Nothobranchius furzeri: one gene and its partner. Each later gene encodes a partner of the first gene's protein in a complex. Links are inferred from orthologs where the notes say so. Each region holds a gene or a part of one and is shown in the gene's direction. Other genes may lie near its edges.

Region 1 (3,652 bases):
CTGAGGCAGGCTTTACGAGCCCTTTAAGAACAACATTGATTAAAAATAAATTTAAATGTTATTTAAAAGTTACTGCGTAGCTCATATTTCAAGTCTTTCAAACCTTCAAAATATGGATGTATTGAACAATAAGCAGTCCTGTGACAGGGCTGGCAGGCTAACCTTTTCTGACACAACACCAGTAGCTACCACAGGCCGCCATCTGCAATATCTCTTTTTTTATCAGCATATCTTTGTCGGTTGGCTCTGCGTTTTTGTCCAAGTTGCCGCTGTGAACTGGGACTATTGGTGGCAAACTAGGAGTCAATGGAAATCGGTGATTTGTTTTAGTGACAACTGAAGGAAAAATCTTAAAAGTAGTTTGTTTTGAAGGTGGCATAGGTGACAGCTCAACCTTTTCCACCACCTTAAATGCCCAGTTTGCACACGTCTGTTACACTCAATGCCACCAAACTGATGACTTTCACCCTCCTGAGGAGACACGTTAGCCTGCTGGCTAACAGCTGCACGTTTGCATTGCTAATATTTTTGTCACAATTTAGTGTATTTTTCTTTTGATGCGATCATTTTCAACTTCTGTAAAGGAAATGTTAACTACATCTACTAAAGCAATAGGAAAAATTCACATTAGACACTTTGGATCAATAAAACTCTACCTTTATCATTGTTTTAATAACAACAATTATTGGGGGAAAAAAACAAAATCAACGCTGACAGTTTCAAATTGTAAAAAGTCATGTTTTTTTTAAGGCTAAATCCGATCTTTTCTACCCAATTCCGATCCTTTTAAAATCACACGATTGGGCCCGATCGGATTGGAGCATCTCTATCAATTACATAGATTTTGTTGCTGATGTCAGTGTTTTTATAGTTTTTTTTTTTTTTCTTGGACATGTAAGTCAGACATAAGCATTCATTTTTGCCTTTTGTGTGTTTGAAAATGTAGTTTGTCTTCTGACTAATTGTTCAAAACATTAAAATGCCTCTTTTTCCTTTGTTTACAGCGAGCACCTGTCTTGCTCTTTCACCTTCTTCGTTCATGGCGACAGCAATGTGTGCACGAGCGTGGAAATCGCCCAACATCAGCCACTTCAGAGACTCGGCGAAGAGCATCCAAGCCTTGCACAGCAGAGCTCCAGCCCCCTGCAAGGTAGTTTTACATATTATATCTATTTTTCATTCACTGCGAAGGTTTTTTTGTGCCCATATCAAATTTATTGTGACTGTGTTGCCTTGCAGTAATCCTGAGCCCATACGGCTTGAACGGGACACTCACCGGCCAAACGTTTAAGATGTCAGATCACCCTACTCAGAAACTCATCGAGGAGTGGAGGCAGTTTTATCCCATTTGTCTGAATCCCAAGGAGTCCCAGGAAGACAAGCTGGAGGATACGGACTGGGAGGATGACTCCCTAGCGGCTGTGGAAGTCCTTGTTGGTAAGGCGTCATAATTATTTGATAAAGCAGCGATGAGTGAAGGGGATGCAAGCGGGTAAGTTTTAACTGAACTTAAAGTGTACAGATCTTTTCAAAGGATGTGTTTAGTGATGGATATTAGTTGAAACTGCTTAAGAGGCTTTTCTGCACGACTACAGCCAAACCTGAGACTGGAGGAAAATCATAAATCCTAATTGAGTTCCTCACTAATAAACACCCAGTTAATTTACTGTACCAGTGATCCTGAGTCTAAATATTCACATAACTGTTGTAAATATGGTCACATTCGGTTTTTAAAATCAGTGTTTGTGCTTTTTTCAGCGGGGGTGAGGATGGTTTACCCATCCTGCCTTGTGCTTCTCCCCCTATCGGACCTCCCCGCCGTAGTCTCCCAGGGCTCGGCCAACACCCCGGGGGCCCAGTGTGGCGCTCAGCAGGGTCAGGCGACTCACAGAGACCCCGCCATATCCTCTGTCACCTTGACTCCGCCCACATCACCAGAAGAGGCTCACACTGGTGAGAATCAAACGCACTTATGTCAACCTTTGCTTCTGGAAGATTTTGCTTACTAATCTGTTTTTTTGTTTGTTTGTTTTTCTCCTCAGACTATCAGCCTGCCCACCGCTGGCTAAAGCTGTCTTCTGCGTCCGATTGCTACAACTCTAACAACACTCTTCATGGGGGTAAAATCCCCCGCAGGCTGGCTGGTCAGATGGTGGAATCAGTGTGGCAGGAGTATAACATCAACCGTACTGGGAACAAGTGGGTTTACTGCCACCATTTCCTGTAAATTGCTGTTTACTGGTAAAGTTTTCTCTCTCCACTGGCTGAAATTTGCATTGTTGTTGTTTAGGAGGAAGTTTACCAACTTGACAAACGGCGCGTGTGAGGAGGAATTGGAGAAAACAAGACTCTGGGATTTTGTGGAACCTACTTGCAGACCATCTTGCAATTGTTCAAGGTAAAAATACGGTAGAGAATTTACGAAGGATTTCTGTTTTTAATAGTGGTTGGATCTCCGGCTCTTTTAAGAGAGCTGGTCCTTGAGGTTCACCAGAAAAAAAACGTCTCTTTCGGCTCTCAAATGTTTCCTCACAGTTTTGACCAGAAATTTTGTAAAATTGTATGTAAAATAAATTCCTAATCTAAAAACATGAATTATATCAAATGTTCCACTGAAAGCTAAGATGATCACTCAGTAAAAATGTAATAAATGTGTGCAAAAGAGAAAAATCAGCATTCTGCTCTGATGGATGGACGGTTCTTATGTGCAGAGCCTTCTGCATAAGATATGTGCAGATTCCACACTCTGCCTTTTTTATGAATATTTCTGATTATATATTTTGTATATTCGTTCTGTTTTTCTTCTGAATGCATTTTTAGGTTTTTTTTTTTTATCACAGGAAGTTTTTTACCTTGCTGACAGTTTCAATCACTCCTGCAATCTTTATCATCAGAATTGGTAGAAACAGCTGAATAAGAAGAGGTTGTTGATTAGCTTATGATTGGAAATAGACGGTGAAACTCTAGGCTTTGAGAAACCTGACAGATCTACGTCAAGCAGCGCTTGGACTCACCCATACAGGGTATCCGCGGGTCCTTAAAAAGTCTTAAATTTGCTTTTCCAAATTTAAGGCCCTAAAAATCCTTAAAAATGACAAATAATCCTTAAATTCAGTTTCCAAATGTCTTAAATTACCAAAGACCCAATAAACAAGATTCTATAAAATTTTGGGGATTTTCTAGTTGGTGTTCAGCATTTTTTGTGTATGATATTGGCGTAAGCGGAACCGTACACATTCAGTTGGTTGTGAAAGGGGGCTATTTTTAGATGAGCACATTAGCTGGTTAAGCTAGTGGGAGCTTGAGCCATGGGGAAGTGCAAGTTTAATCAACACATTCTCACAGCCAAAGCATCAAAATATTGCACGTGTGACCAAGCCTCAATATATGACGATTCGGGACGCCCCAGCGTGTCAGGAGACGACGATCAGGGACAAACTGGTGATGCAGCGTCCCAGAGCGTCGGTATCCGACGCTGGTGCTAAGACGGACATTAGAACTACTTGTGAACTACTTAACCTTCCCCTGACCCCAATCCTAACTTTAAGGTCACAGTTTATGGAAGGGGGGGAAGTTTAAATAGTCGAATAATGTCCGTGTGACCTCGTGCGTCAAACAGTGATGCCAGCGGAGCCACGTGTCCCGGCATGTC
Region 2 (4,211 bases), on another chromosome or scaffold:
ACCTACAGTAGAGTTATAAATAAGCATCAGACAGTTTATTTTAGTTCAGCTTGCCTTTTCGATGTACACGGGCAAGCGATCGTTGAGGACGACCATCTCCTGTCGTTCACTGCTACGAGTCATCTTGAACTCCTGGTTCGCTGCTGCAGCCATGTCCAAGTCCAGGTTTGTCCCCTTCCTCATGGACACATCCAACCACAGCGTTCCTATACTCCCACTGCTGGTAAGAAAAGACAAGTAGATGTTTTTCTCTTTTTATACCCCAATGTTTGAAGTTTGCTTTGTCTAAATGAAACTTTTTAACACATTTCATGGAAATGCAGAGTTTAGTGTTTCAACATTTGCCATCTTTTTGTTGGAGCACTGCTTCACCCACCTAGTGAGACGAGACTTGGTGCTCAGAGTTCTGCACCCCATCGTCTTCCATCCCACACTTCGGCTGAAGCTGGAAGACCTGTGACGGCTAACCTTTCTGGTGGGAGATGGACTTGACGCCCGAAGCTGGCTTGCAGGAGACGGACCCTTGTGGCCTTCGAAATGACAGCGATAGGAAGACGTCCTCTCTGGACTTTGGCTCATCTTGATGGCGTTTTAACTGATTTAAGTTCTGCTGAGGAGTGAAGAACGCTCACTCAGTTGTTGTATGGTGGAGGATTTTCATACTCTTCTCACCTATTCCCTCACCACCACAGAGGAATGCTGGACCCTCCCATTCCAGAGGGCGAAGTCCCCACAAACATCTGTCGAGGTCATGATTAATGCAGCTTATAGACTGTAGAAAAAAATAATACACTCAGGGTAAATTACTCTGCTGACCTCTTAAAGGTTTAATTTGAGAATGTTTAGTCTTATGCAATCAAAACAAATATGAATCTAGTTATATTACTGCAGCTAAATTATACCACAAGCAATAACTGCTGTTGAAAAGGAATGGCTGATTAAACGCATATCCTACGTTAGAAAAAAACATATTTTGTACACAAATAATATTTTAAAGTTTTCAGCTTGTTTTTTAATCAATCAATCAATCAATCAATCAATCAAAGCTTTATTTATAAAGCGCCTTCCGCAACCCTGTCAGGAAGCCCAAGCGCTTTACATGTTTAGTGACACGTTCTGTTGTGTAATTATACATTTATACAATGTTTTCATGTTAGTATTGTTTTTATTATTGTTGTTGTTGACTTACACAATTATAAGCCATGTTTTCTTTTCTCTTTCTTTCTTTTCTTTTATTTTATTATTTTTTTAACAAATTATTTAATTCCACGTTTATAAATAAATAAATAAATAAATAAATAAATAAATAAATAAATAAAGGGAAACCAGCGCGACTGCAACCCCGGAACCATATTTCTAAGCTACCCGGTAGGTCTTTGGTGTTACACCAGCGTTTGCTAGCAAAACTACTTTTCTTTTGTATTCGCTGGTTTTGTAGGTTAAAACATTAAATACAATTATTTTTTCCGTCTTCAAACCGAAACGACATGGCGGGGAACTTTTGGCAGAGTTCACATTAGTAAGTTGCCATAATTATCAGACCTGTTACGTCCAAATGTTTTAATTCATCGCTTTTGTTGTGAGGCCTTGCTTGTTGCGACTGTTCGAGCTAACACTTTAGTTTATTCCCACCGTAAGTTTTAATTTATTGAATAGATGCAATAGACAGATAAATTAAAAGTACCAGTTTTTTACAAAGATGGAAGTTCCTTTTTAATTGTTTGACCATTCGTATCGTGCCTCTTTCTGTTGTGTTGTTCGCGTTTGGTTTATGTCTTATTTTTTATTTAGCCTTCAGTGGGTTCTGGATAAACAAGACCTAATGAAAGAGCGCCAGAAGGACCTGAAATTCCTCACAGAAGAGGAGTACTGGAAGCTGCAGATTTTCTTTGCAAATGGTAACTTTTAAAATCACCTGTAATAACGTGTTTACTTCAGAAGCTCGTTTATGTGTAGCTGTAGATACAGTTAGTGCATTTCCCTTGAACATATCACGTTTCTATGTTTTTTTTTTCCAGTGATCCAGGCTTTAGGTGAGCACCTGAAGCTGAGACAGCAGGTCATCGCCACAGCAACAGTCTACTTTAAACGCTTCTATGCCAGGTGAGAAGCTGTCTCAGGTAATGATGGAGATCAATGTTGATGCCATCACCAGCTCAGGCTCTTTAAAAACCTTAGTGTCTTTTTAACTCGCGGTGTTTTATTTTACTTACAGAATCAACTCGGATTGTCACGATATTAAAATTTCAAACTCGATTCGATACGGGGGGGGGACTCGATACTCGATTTCGATACTATTTAAAAACACCAATTTATTGAACAAGTTTATTCAAAAAATAACATTCCTCCATTTATATTGCAGAAATTAAATGTTAAGAATTAAGTGTGTAACGTGCTTAAACCTTTCAAGTATCAGCATTTTTTTTAAACGTGCATACAAAAACTGGCGAAAGTTAACACTTTAAATCATGAATTGTCTCACTATATATACACTATTTGCAGAGTGATGTTTTGCTGCTTAAACTCTGTTTAAGGTGCATTTTTGTCATAAGATGTAACGTCATATGTTTTGTTCTGTACTTTTGAACAACTCTGTTGGTCAATAAAGGGAGAAAACGAATTTCTCCACAGTAGGACAAAGGTACATCCACCGGTAATCTTAATAAAAACAGACTGGCGCACGGCAGTGACGTCATTAAAAGCGCTGGTTAGATTAGCCGCGGCTAGTCTGTTTACGCCTAGAAATCCCAGACCCGCTCCAAACGAACAGGGGAATCACGTTAATGATTCCTAACAAAACCTTTCGACATGAAGATGTTTTGGTGCAGATAATGTCTTATTTCGAGGCTGCACCATGGGTGCCCGTCCGCACCCGTTATATGGATATACACTGACGGCGATTCGGCGATGGATCTACGGTAAATACCCCGGGGAATCCAAGTAGCACCAAAGTTGTCGGCGTGAGTAAACAAACGTACTGCATGCTAGAAATTAAGTCCGGGTTGCAATAAACGGGAGTTTCCTTTAAGCACATAAGCGTGAATATACAACTACGTGGCGGACTTGGTATGCTAATTAAGTTGGGCTGTGAAGCGCCTCCCAAATTCACTGTTTATGTTTTTGTTTATTTATTTGGCAGACAAAACTTGGATCGGAGACAACTCGCGTGGGAAATTGCAATGTAGCCATGCGGCGCCTTCTTCTTCTGTTTGTCTGGGAGGCGGAGGCTGCTTTACGGCATCTGGCTGTCGTGCGTGTCGGTGTACTTGAAGAAGGCTGTGTATAATAGTCCATAATATCGATACCACAGGGATGGAATATCTCATTTAGATACCACTTTTAGCATCGTTTATATCTAGGTATCGATTTTTTTGACAACACTAGAATCAACACATAAACCTGAAATAATTCCAATCCTCCCACTTAAACATACAGGTTAATTCTTATCATTCAGCTTTGATTTACTCTTTAATCAACTTATAATGTCAAGTTTTTGTGCTGTTGCAAGCTATGAAAATGCAAACTAGAAAAGGGTGGTGTCGGTACAGGATCGGCTCGGGGTCCGTCGACTGCCGATGACGTCTAAGTAGTTGATTGGCTGAACATGAACCTTAAGCAATTACGTAATCACGTTACGTTGTTATCACGTTACGTTGGTCCAGGTAAATCTTTCTGTTGGAAAGATGGACAACTTTTACAAAGAAATCCATCATTACCTCTATGAAAATACACTTTTAGCATAGAGCTGCATGTATATTAGGGCTGAACGATTAACTGCATGTGCAATTAAATTGCGATGTGACAAAAGGAGATTTTCTAATCTCAAAGGCTGCAATTTGGCAGCGAGTGGTTAGCGCAATGCTAATATACATGGAAAAACCCATAGGAATGCTAATGCTAATATCACCGATTACATGCTTACAAATTATGAATTAGAAACGTGCCAAATGATTACATTTGGAGTCTAATAGAAAGTAAAACTACCATCAATCAAATAAGTACAGACAGGTATTTTAGTAAAGCCAGAAAACTTTTAACTCCAGAGTTTTGGCTAGCAGCTATGAGCGTAACTGAACTACGCATGGACAAGACGTCAAAAACTCTAAACACAAAATACTTCAATAAACGGGACACACTTCTTTCCTGCAAATACAATTTCACAGGTGTTGCTAATACCTATGATCCTTCAAGGGATGTGCTCAAAGAGGAGT

Evidence for each region. The genes of interacting proteins can lie anywhere in the genome.
Region 2: the proteins of mediator of RNA polymerase II transcription subunit 13-like (region 1) and ccnc are in contact, whole or in part, in a cryo-EM structure (PDB 8TQC), measured with the Homo sapiens proteins. The link is inferred for Nothobranchius furzeri from reciprocal best matches to the Homo sapiens genes MED13 and CCNC. Residues at the interface, in NP_005112.2 of Homo sapiens: Tyr1342, Ser1630, His1631, Val1732, Lys1733, Thr1734, Thr1736, Phe1738, Gly1739, Pro1740, Gly1741, Ala1743, Arg1897, Met1898, Ile1901, Asp1905; in NP_005181.2 of Homo sapiens: Gln7, Gln13, Trp14, Leu16, Gln19, Lys23, Gln26, Lys27, Arg75, Tyr76, Glu144, Leu145, Asp147, Cys148, Ser221.

What each region holds. Positions count from the first base shown.
Region 1 is NC_091753.1:50,238,160-50,241,811, reverse strand, and holds part of mediator of RNA polymerase II transcription subunit 13-like, read left to right. Parts: intron 1-1,004; coding exon 1,005-1,150; intron 1,151-1,239; coding exon 1,240-1,437; intron 1,438-1,758; coding exon 1,759-1,953; intron 1,954-2,042; coding exon 2,043-2,199; intron 2,200-2,290; coding exon 2,291-2,398; intron 2,399-3,652. UniProt on the Homo sapiens protein: Component of the Mediator complex, a coactivator involved in the regulated transcription of nearly all RNA polymerase II-dependent genes.
Region 2 is NC_091742.1:26,778,147-26,782,357, forward strand, and holds the start of ccnc (cyclin-C), read left to right. Parts: upstream 1-1,370; 5' UTR 1,371-1,487; coding exon 1,488-1,519; intron 1,520-1,791; coding exon 1,792-1,898; intron 1,899-2,018; coding exon 2,019-2,103; intron 2,104-4,211. UniProt on the Homo sapiens protein: Component of the Mediator complex, a coactivator involved in regulated gene transcription of nearly all RNA polymerase II-dependent genes.